2 linked regions of the Saccharomyces cerevisiae S288C genome follow. The protein of the gene in region 1 binds, or shares a complex with, the protein of each later gene. Each region holds a gene or a part of one and is shown on either strand. Other genes may lie near its edges. The genes, in order: TOF2 and CTF4. A codon is read from its position in the direction of its gene.

Region 1 (4,804 bases):
ACATACTAATATTACGATTATTCCTCATTCCGTTTTATATGTTTCATTATCCTATTACATTATCAATCCTTGCACTTCAGCTTCCTCTAACTTCGATGACAGCTTCTCATAACTTATGTCATCATCTTAACACCGTATATGATAATATATTGATAATATAACTATTAGTTGATAGACGATAGTGGATTTTTATTCCAACACATATAAAGTTTAGAAAGATGACATAAAGATTAACTTAATACATGACTGGGTATACTTGAATTCTAAAATTTTCAACAAATAAGTGGTTGTTTGGCCGAGCGGTCTAAGGCGCCTGATTCAAGAAATATCTTGACCGCAGTTAACTGTGGGAATACTCAGGTATCGTAAGATGCAAGAGTTCGAATCTCTTAGCAACCATATTTTATATTTTTTTATATTGTGTTCAACAATGAACAATAATGACGAATAATCCAGAATGATATAAACGTCCATGAATAAAAGTCCGTTATAATCATATATAATTGATGCATACCGTACGCTATTAGTTCTCTTTTGTTGGTTGCTTTTGAAGATTTAATTATGATATCATTAACCAGTCTAAAAAATTACTACAATTCGCCAAGAATATTTAAGATATGGTTGAGAGATCCCAACATAATTACTGACAGACTTACTGGTCGTCTTCATCACTTTCAACATATTTAGGTGTTTGGTACTTCTTTGTATTTATTTCATTGTCATCCACATCCAGCATTGGTTTTCCATTAGAATTTCCAGCTGGTCCATGACTTGTTTTGAAATTAATTTTTTTAACTTGCACGTTCCTCGAATCAGAATCATCATCCGAATCATCTGAGGAAGAGCTATCCAATGAAGATTCAAGTGACATGGAAGAAGAAGAAGAAGGTGAAGAATGCGACCTGGTAACCTTGACTTTCTTGAGCTGCGGTGTTCTTTCTAAACTGGACGGTATCGCTTGGCCATTTTTTCTTTTTCCAGGAGTTGAATTCATAACTGGCAACTTGGGTGAGACTTGTTCTTGTTCCTGAGCCGTACTATTAGAAGTTGCCTCCACTTTGTCTTTACTATTATCAACAGGATCTCTCATTAATTTGACTACTTTTATGGTCGAAGCTGCATTTGGCGGTTTCCCAGCATTGGCAAAAATATCTTTTAGGGATCTATTCCCCATATTTCTTTTTCTTTTAAACTCTATAACTTTCGATCCAACATCATCAGTTTTTCGTTTCACTTTTATTTTACCAAATTTTGCGAATTTCTCACCGGAAATAATGGTATTGGGATCATCAAAGTGCTTTGTTTCCAGACTTACCCCTTTTGAAGTTATGGATTTGGGTTTATCTTTCTTCATTATTCCAAATTTTCCGTAATATGGTTCCGTAATACTATTCCTTTTTTGGACCTTAGTTTCCCCAGTTGGCTTGAACCTATTTAGTTTCCGAATAGTTTCTTGTATTTTTACGTCTTTTGCATGCGAAGTAGATGACGCAGCACCCAATGATTTATCAGGAAACTCCTTCTCAACAAGTCGAAATAGGGCTTCCTTACCTTGACTTTGATGTAACCGATTATTCAATTCTTTTTCAGGAAAAAAGGGAGGAGAAACAACATTTTTGGTACTTTGAGTACTTTGTACTGCATTTTCAATATCACTGTTGAATGAAACGCTATCCAAGTCGGAATTGATATCCCGAAATCCCATCGATGCCTTCTTAGAATTGTTGATAAACGAATCCGCACGATCATTATCGGTTTCATTAAAATCCTCTTCATCTGAAAATGCTTCTATCCTTCTACAATTCTCACCTATATCTTTGTCGTTCAATGGCAGATCATCACCTTTTTTGTTTTGAACTTTAATTTCTAAGGAACTCTTCCTGGGACTATGAGCACCACTAGAGGGGTTAGAATATTGTATATGCATATCAGAATTAGTATGAGAAGTAGTGCTCAATTGGAAGTCGGTATCAATCGAATCAAACGAAATTTGAGGGGAGTTTTCATCTGCGGGTTCATAATCAGCATCTTCTGACGAATTGCGTAAAAGATCTAAATCCTTTGATTCGGCCCTTTTAGCGCCATCATTTTTCTGTTGTTGAGTGGATGAAGGTATATTTTCTTTATTGTTATCACTCCCTTGCGTTACAACTCCCTCTTTAGCACGAGCGTGATCTTTTACGTCTTTGTGTACATTTGATGCCACTACTGTGGAAGTAAGTGGCATGGGACACTTTTCTTTATTCAGTGCATCATACTTGCTTGCAAGCGGTAGAATTTCGTTCATTAGCGGCGTTGATACTCTTGATTTATTAATGAAGTTATTCTTGAGCGAGCTTTTAGCTATTAGATGCATTGTATCTTTATTTGATATAGAAGATAAGTCTTCCTTAGAGATCTTTTTTCTCTTTTCAGTAACGATGGATTTTGTGGATGGCTTGTTGTCCTGCCGTCTCCGCTGTCTTGCCAATTGTAAAAGTGAAATATGTTGATTTCTACTCCAGTCTAATTCATCTTTTAAAATTACCAAAACCACACCATCATTTTCAAATACGTCTTTTATTATAAATTCAGAGTCCAAATCACAACCATGCCTATCTTGTAGAGATACGATTTCAATGGATTCTTTGAAATTTGGATAAAGTCTATCAAATTTAGTTAAAATTTCATTAGATAGTTGTAAAAGGGTATTGTCACCGTCCGTAAAATGTAAAAACTTTTTACAATTCGGGAGGTAGTTAATGAAATCACTACTACGATTCGACTGAATAGAATTTTGCGAAGACGGGCTCGTAGGAGAGGGGTCGCTACAGTTATTGATACTGTTGTTGTGCGTAATTATATCTTCATTATACTGGACCATAGGAGACACTGATTGTGGAGTATTCAAGCGTGCTTCGAGAAATGTGATAATATCTTGAGCACTTGGCGGCACCAGTACAATCTGTAACCTCCACATTTTTATCATTTACTTATTTGAACCAAACACCAAGGAGGGCAAAGGATATTATAAGAAATGTGGCAAAAGATTGGCGTATTTATTGAATGCTTGTATAATTGGGTAGCTAACCAAAAATGACTTGTTTTCCTTCTTCAGCGAAACTAATAAATAAACAAACAAACAAATTAGGACCATCTTGCATTTGAGATCTGAAGAATATGAAAAAAATTATATAACAGTATCGTATAATGCGACTTTTTTTCGTGATGCCTATGTAACAATAGTAGAGAAAAAACAGGTCACATTTCTATAAATGATTGAATAATTGGTTCTATATACGTACATACTTTTGGAGTTTTACTTTTATTCTCTTGATTTAATGGATGTAGATGCTATAAAAAGACATGTTTTCCCGGAAATAGTTAAAATGATATTTTGCCATTTTTATGCGGATGATGGCTATTAGGAGGGTTTTTAGTGATTTTTTTTTTTTCCACAAGCTGAAATTTTCGAGGTCTTTGTCTCGACCAGGCTCTCAAGTCAAAAGTTTCATAGTCTTCGGCCATCAATTTAAAATAGCTTTCAAAATTTGACTTGATCAGATCGTTTGTAGCACTTGAATGCATGAAATTCACGTTTGGTTTAGACTCAGGACCTTTATAGATGTAGTCTGTCGAGACAGCCTCATCATCGGTACTCAAAGATGAAGGAGACAGCGAATTTACCGGAGAAAAATGTCTTGATTCGCTTTCCAGAGATGCGGAAGGCTCATTGTTTGAGCACGATGCCAAACTATTTTCCTTAAGATTTTGTTCCTGGATGTTATACTTTTTCTTCATCGAGTTATGATAATTTTTTAAAGTTGTTGTCAAAAGTCGCTTATTCGATAAAACTTTGGTCTTTATGATAGCAATAGAAACAATATTTTTGAAGTTATCGAAAACCTCCATGTTGAACTGTTCCTGTTTTTTCTTTTGTTTGGCAATGCTTTGACATATTTTATCATATTGAGACCAAAATTGTTCAACGTTTAGTTTTGAGAGATCTCTATTCATTTTTTCTAGACAATTTTGTAACCAGGCCCGTTTATCATAATTTTTAAATCGTTGATCATTCTGGAAAACCTCCTTCCAGGAAGTGTTCTTAACCACGTTAGCGTCGTTATCCACGTACAACAAGGCAGACAACTTATTTAATTGCCAACGACCATCAGATTTCCAAATGAAAAAGGTGTCACTTATTTCTTCATATTCGAGAATGTAGAAATGGGGAATACAATTCGGCTTCAAATATGCGGGTGCACAATCTATCTTCAAATTTTCTGTTATGGTCTCAGAAGTTTGCAACTCAATCCCGTACAATTCTTGAATAGAATGCACGAACTTGATAACCTGAGTTAAAGTGAGACCTTCCTTAATACAGGTCAATTTAACACGTGGTTGTTCTTCACCAGCGTATAAGTAAACGGTTTCTAACTTGGACATGGTTTCCTTTCTTTGTACTTGGTATTTCTTCTTCTTTTTCTAGCTGTCTGTATGAGTACTTAACTGTAACAGAATAGTAATGGGTTCAGGCTAAATCTCTTTAATTATGGCACCTTTATGCTGATATAAATCCCTATACATTTCTTAGGGGTGTGTTTTGGTTTTTGGTCTCATAGTTTTGACAGCACGTTGGAACGCCACTCATGCCTTAAAAGGCCGGGTAATGATTTATAGTCCAATTATATCACAGCACTACAAGACGTCAAAAATTCACGGCGGCAAAAGGTCTGTAACTACCTAAACATTAAAAGCCTTTGAGCTATAAATCATTATGTACACTGAGAATGCCACATGCTAAAACAAGGAAGTTTTCAGCGAA
Region 2 (5,556 bases), on another chromosome or scaffold:
AAGACTCGGCCTTGCTGTTCAGCAACGTCTTCTTTTAACCTGGACGCAATGATATCCTTATCCAAATCTCCAGCATCAAAATTGTTGTACTCGTCGATTGTTCTTTCCTTGAGATTGTTTAAATCTTTTTCTTCAGCGTTCCTATTATCAGTTAAAATGTCATTAGCTTCGCTTTTCAGATTCTCCAGATATTGCTTTGCAAGCCTCCTTCTTTTATCGGCTGGATTTTCACCCTCGAATTCTTCTTCAGATTCCAATGCGTCTTCTTCATCCGAAACTTCTAGTTGTTCATCTTCGTTTGAGGATGGATCTGTGATTTCTTCGTCTACTGTGGGTTTTGATGGATTAACTTCTCCTTTGGATCTTTTCCTCTTTTTCTGTTGGGTAACATCTGACATCTTTTCTAGATTTTCTATAATTTTGAAATGCTAAAGAAGAAATAAAGAACTTTGAATTGATGCTTATTTGAATATTTACGGTACAGGACCAGGTGTTACACTGTTTAATCAAAGCTCATCTATAAAATGTCATCTCTTTTTTTTTTTTTCATATTTTTTCACTTTTTCCTTTCGCGAAAATTCGCAAGGACGCTTCCAGCTCAGATCATGTTCAACGTAACTCTTTATTATCGTCGCATTCAAAGAAATATATGTTAATGTGGGAGCATTTTGAACGATGATTTGAACAAATGAACAGGTATCAAATAATTGTCTCTTGCGTATATATATTTTACATTTTTTTATTTCAATTGCTGTTCATATCTAGCTTCCCTTATATTATTAATTTTTTTAACGAGAGAGGGCAGCTCAGCTCTTTCTGATATCTTAACGGCTGCAGTAAGTGCTCTATCTTGTTTTAATTCATGAGCAAGCGAAAGAGCCTTTTCAACATTTTGGTCTGAGCATGCAGACGCAAATAAACGTAACAAAGCCTTATCATATGCACCGTTCAATGCTGCCAATACCTCATTTTCGTTGCCGTACATTTCACCGTCATTTTCGAGTGTATCTGTCAACAGCTCTGACAAAACCTTGCTGCGCAGATACTCTTCTTCCGCCGCCATAGAAACAGGAATCTGTATTTCTTTGTCTTCTTCCCCTTCTTCCGCTTCGGTGTCAGCTCCAATTTCGTTCTTTTTATTTAATATAGCTTTGTTTTCCTCTAGTAATTTACTCTTAACAAATACTGGCATTCTAATCTCCATTTCGGATGGCAACGGAAGGGGAAACTCGGGCCATATATGCTTGCCCTTAACTAAGATACAATTCAATGTGTCATACGCCAAAGCCAAGGGCCAGACATGTATATCTGTCGTTTCCTTCCCTCCTGACATCTTCCATATTTCCATGTTGCTATCTAGAATAGGGAGCCATTTACTTTCTTCTGGTGATCTCCACTTTGATAACAATAGAAGCGTGTTGTCGGACCCAAAAATGCATGGATCTCCGTAGCTTGAAAAGAACAAACTTTTGATGCCCATCGGATTAAAATTGTAGTAGTCAAGATTTGCGTCTTTTTTCATATCAGAATTAATGTTTGGTAAACTCATTGGAAGTGGACACTCTCTTTTATAGTACCTTTTACTAGAAGTACCCAATTCAGATAAAGAGTATGAAAGGCCATGAAACTGCGAATAATGTACTGAAAAAACCCTATAATTCTGAGCAGTAAGCGCTACAATTGGGGATGTCTTTTCAACAGCAAATGGAACCCCGAATTGATTGAAACTTCTGAAATAGCCTAATGATGTACCAACAATAACGCGAACCGGGGTGGCTGCCACACTTGTTATTCTCTCACCAGCTTGCAAAGGAATAATCTTGGTCCAGTTTGAATGTATGCTATCGTGTGGCCTATATTGTATCTGCCCAGTTTTGGATTGGCCAAATAAAGTGCCTTTTTCATTTAGGAAGCATAAATCGTAGCCAAATAAGTCCTCGAAATGGTATTCTCTAAAACGTCCAACATCAAAAAAAGAGACAGTTATGCTGTATTGCTCACTATTCTTGACAGTAGATACGTAGCCCACTTCATTCATTGTCAAATAACGCCTGTCAGTAAAGCCAAAAGGTGTTCCCGCTGGAGAAAAAGGCATATAACGAAATTTTCCTGTGTTTGCCAAACTGATTGGAAACGAATGAGTCTTGTGTACTCTCGAATAAGAATGTTCATTATGTGGTTTTTTGCCACTAATATAACCAGCACCATCGTCATCATCAATAAAGTCTTCTTCATCTTCGAAGTTGTATTTTCTCTTTTCACTTAATCCACTGGGGCCGTCGTGTGTTTGAGTGAACACATCTTCCGCATTCGCTTCTTGAGTAATATCTGAAAATAGCTTATCGCTTTTGTTTATATCATCATTTCCCTCTAAGTTTTCCAAGTCAGATTCGGAGTCTACAAAAAGCCCATGTTTAGTTGAAGATTCAGCAACAGATTGGTCAGGTATATTAGATACTACGGACTCTGCCAAATTTTGGACAATGGCTATACTACCGGACCAGGTACCTAAAACAAGGTCTAGAGTTTTTGAGTCCGCTTGGATTTTCCAGGCAATATTAGTAATTTTTCTTTTGAATTCCCTGGTGTAGTGGATCTCGGAAGTTTCCCAATTCCATACCGTTAACTTATTATTTAAATCTACTGCCGCAATGTAAGTTCCACGTAACGGGTCAAATTGCAAATCAATGAAATGAGCCTTTGTTGATGAGAGATTTGTGGACAACGTCTTTTGTAGGGAATATCCCTTTATAGAGAATATTTTTACTGTATCATCTGCACATGGTAGCGCAAAATGCAGACCCTTCGGATGCCAAGCCACTCTCGTGCAAATTCTATTAGCAGCACAGAATTCTGGATCAGCTACATTGTTCTCATCTGGATCAGCCGTTTCACTCAGGTCATTATCATTGTCTTTATCTATATCATCCATCATATTCGAGAGTATCTTATCTCTGTGTGTATCATCATATGAATTGGCCACTATGTAATCATTTAACTCATGAACTTTGTTTGGAATAGTAGATGTCAGAGAAAAAATTTGTACCTTACCATTTATCATTGAAACTGCTAAAATATTCATCTGTGAATTGTAAGAAATTTGAGAAACTTGTTCATCGATTTTAATGGCATGTTTTTTGTGTGTTTCATCGTCCAATTCCAAAAGGATTAGTTCTAAGTCGTCTCCTCCAAATACGGCCATTTTACCTGAATGAATAACACAGCAGTCACGTAGGGGTAAAGCAAATCTAGCCAATAATTCTTCTTGACTAGAATCGATGTTATACCTAAGAGCATCACCTTGCATTGTAGTCATCAGAAAGTGCGAGTTTGAATAGCATTTTATAGACGAGACCAATTTGGAAGAATCTAAAGTCTCTGGCTCTTCTTCTGGGTTATTTGTCTTCAGAATCTTGGTTAAGCCATTTTTATTGGCTACACACAAAGTATTATTATCTGGTGCGAGAGAGACCAGAGTTTTCCCACCAAAGTCAAAAACAAGCTTGTCTATAACTGAAACCATAATAGTACGTCTAGTATATTTACGTCACTTCTTGCCCTTCTCAATTATTTTTCCCAAGCTTTCTTATTAATTTAATCTATATGTTCCCATATGTTGGCGTATTCAGGAAACTTTATTACGCGTCGCGTTAAACAGTTAACAATTAATCATTAGTGGAAATTAACGAATCTTAGTGAAAACACCCATTCTCCAGGTGAGATTCTTTCAAGTATCAGGCAAACTACGATTTCACCTAATGAATATCACAAGACGTTTTGAATAATTTTCTGAAGCAATTATGAAACATTATGAAGATATATACGAATATGGATAAGCCTTGTACCTGTGATTTTACACTCAAATTGGACATAAGTAGTACATGAAGAGGATGATTAATTCATCCTTTAACGCGCTTGTTCGAAAATCCTTTGAAACCATGTAATAATATATCCAGATTTTCGGCTGACTTCTCATCAATGTTCATCATCGTCGTTTCGTCGTCTTCTAGACCATTTAACCAAAATTTCATACTCATTGGTAGAGAAGAATATGTGTGGTACAGCGACGGTTCAAAGTGAATTATATTTGGTCCGTATTGGCCGTCTTTCATCCCGACTGATGGTGTAGAATGTTCATCGACCAAAACATCATAATTCCTTCGGCACTGTTCTTCCTCTAACCTGAAAAACTCTTCACTAGATATGTCCACGCCTTCACCTTCTGTAGTGCTAACGTAACGTACCGGCCTCTCAGCAAACAAAAGGTTGCTGTCCCGTTGGAGTTGAAGGAAAGGAGAATCATGCACTTCTACTTTCCCATTCCATCTATCTAGCAGACTTGAATATTTCTGTTCCAGGTTATCATTTTTCTCTTCGTTCGTTTGGACACTAGTCATCGTGGTTAGAGTGGGTTCCTCACCCTTCGTATTCATTATGAGAGCTTTTAAATTAAATAAAACCGTAGCCAGCTTACGAATATCAGATGAAGCCAGTACCAAGTCTAATTTCGGTCTTGTTCTCTGAAATGTGCCATTATTTACTGCGAAAGTCGGCCTTGCATACTTAATATTGGAGAATGTACTCAATTCTGCAGTTATTCGGTTATTCCAATATAGTTCCTTCGGTGGGTATACTGTTTGATAGAATAATTTTAACTCCACAAGTATGCAGTTTTTTCGAAGAAAGTTAACTTCAGGTAAACCCATATGTGCACTGATTTTCTCTTTTCCTTGGTTATGCGTAATAAAGGATTATTTTGTATCGCAACCTTCAATTAAGGTTATCACATTTTAATAATAAAAGCTGGTAAAAAAAGCCGAAAAATCTGCCTGGACAAACATACAGAATACGCATATATACAAGCGAAGAAAGGAGATTTAGGCTCATTAGAGCAGTATCAATTTTTTAAAAAATATTTACACGTCTTTCTCTAAACTATATAAGGTGGGGGGCGCAAATTGACCATTATTTAATCAAAAGCAAATACAAAAAGAGAAACATATTTTAGTGTCATTCATAGATGCAATCTTTTTTCTTCAGTGGGGAATTATTTCCATTGCTTTTTCACCAAATGCCAGATCATTGGGGAAACCCAAAGAAACGCAGCCACATAAGCGGCCTGTTTCAAGGTTTTCTCAGTTTGTTCTTGATGAGCTCTTTTCTCCTCTTCGGAGACTTCCTGTTGAGGTAGACCAAACATTTTATACTATCTAGTTATTTGATGCCAATGGACGCCTTTTGTGGGAAACTGCAATTCGCTAATATTGGTGTAACGCCTCTAGAAAGAAAGAGTAAACTTTCGAATTCATTTCTTGATTTTATGATGTGCGGTATTCTTCCAAAGAAGGGTAACAAGAAGGTTTTTTTCTCTCACAATTTCTTTGAAGGGAAGTTTTGGAAGAGTTAACTGTCAGCTTCATTGCCCAGCATCTTTGTTTGATAGCACTTGTAAAGTATATGCAGGCCATATCAAGGGAGTTTATTGTCCTCTGAAGTATATATAGAGGAACTTTTAGTAATAAAAGGCAAAAACATATCAATTAGCAATGAGTACAG

Evidence for each region.
Region 2: the proteins of TOF2 (region 1) and CTF4 are in contact, whole or in part, in a crystal structure (PDB 5HOI), measured with the Saccharomyces cerevisiae proteins. Residues at the interface, in NP_012935.3 of Saccharomyces cerevisiae: Ile504 (codon at 1,459), Gln505 (codon at 1,456), Thr507 (codon at 1,450), Ile508 (codon at 1,447), Arg509 (codon at 1,444), Leu511 (codon at 1,438), Asn512 (codon at 1,435), Arg513 (codon at 1,432); in NP_015461.1 of Saccharomyces cerevisiae: Ile728 (codon at 1,342), Met731 (codon at 1,333), Ser732 (codon at 1,330), Lys735 (codon at 1,321), Thr737 (codon at 1,315), Ile740 (codon at 1,306), Leu756 (codon at 1,258), Lys758 (codon at 1,252), Ser772 (codon at 1,210), Glu773 (codon at 1,207), Met774 (codon at 1,204), Glu814 (codon at 1,084).

Annotation. Positions count from the first base shown.
Region 1 is NC_001143.9:458,272-463,075, forward strand, and holds TOF2 (Tof2p), read right to left. Parts: upstream 2,969-4,804; coding exon 653-2,968; downstream 1-652. Other genes in the region: chromatin-associated RNAPIII regulator FPT1, read right to left, coding at 3,364-4,425.
Region 2 is NC_001148.4:797,201-802,756, reverse strand, and holds CTF4 (chromatin-binding protein CTF4), read right to left. Parts: upstream 3,524-5,556; coding exon 740-3,523; downstream 1-739. Other genes in the region: ribosomal RNA-processing protein RRP9, read right to left, coding at 1-398; MSS18 (Mss18p), read right to left, coding at 3,900-4,706; TOM5 (Tom5p), read right to left, coding at 5,048-5,200; transcription factor SPN1, read left to right, coding at 5,547-5,556. UniProt on the Saccharomyces cerevisiae protein: Accessory factor for DNA replication. It plays a role in accurately duplicating the genome in vivo.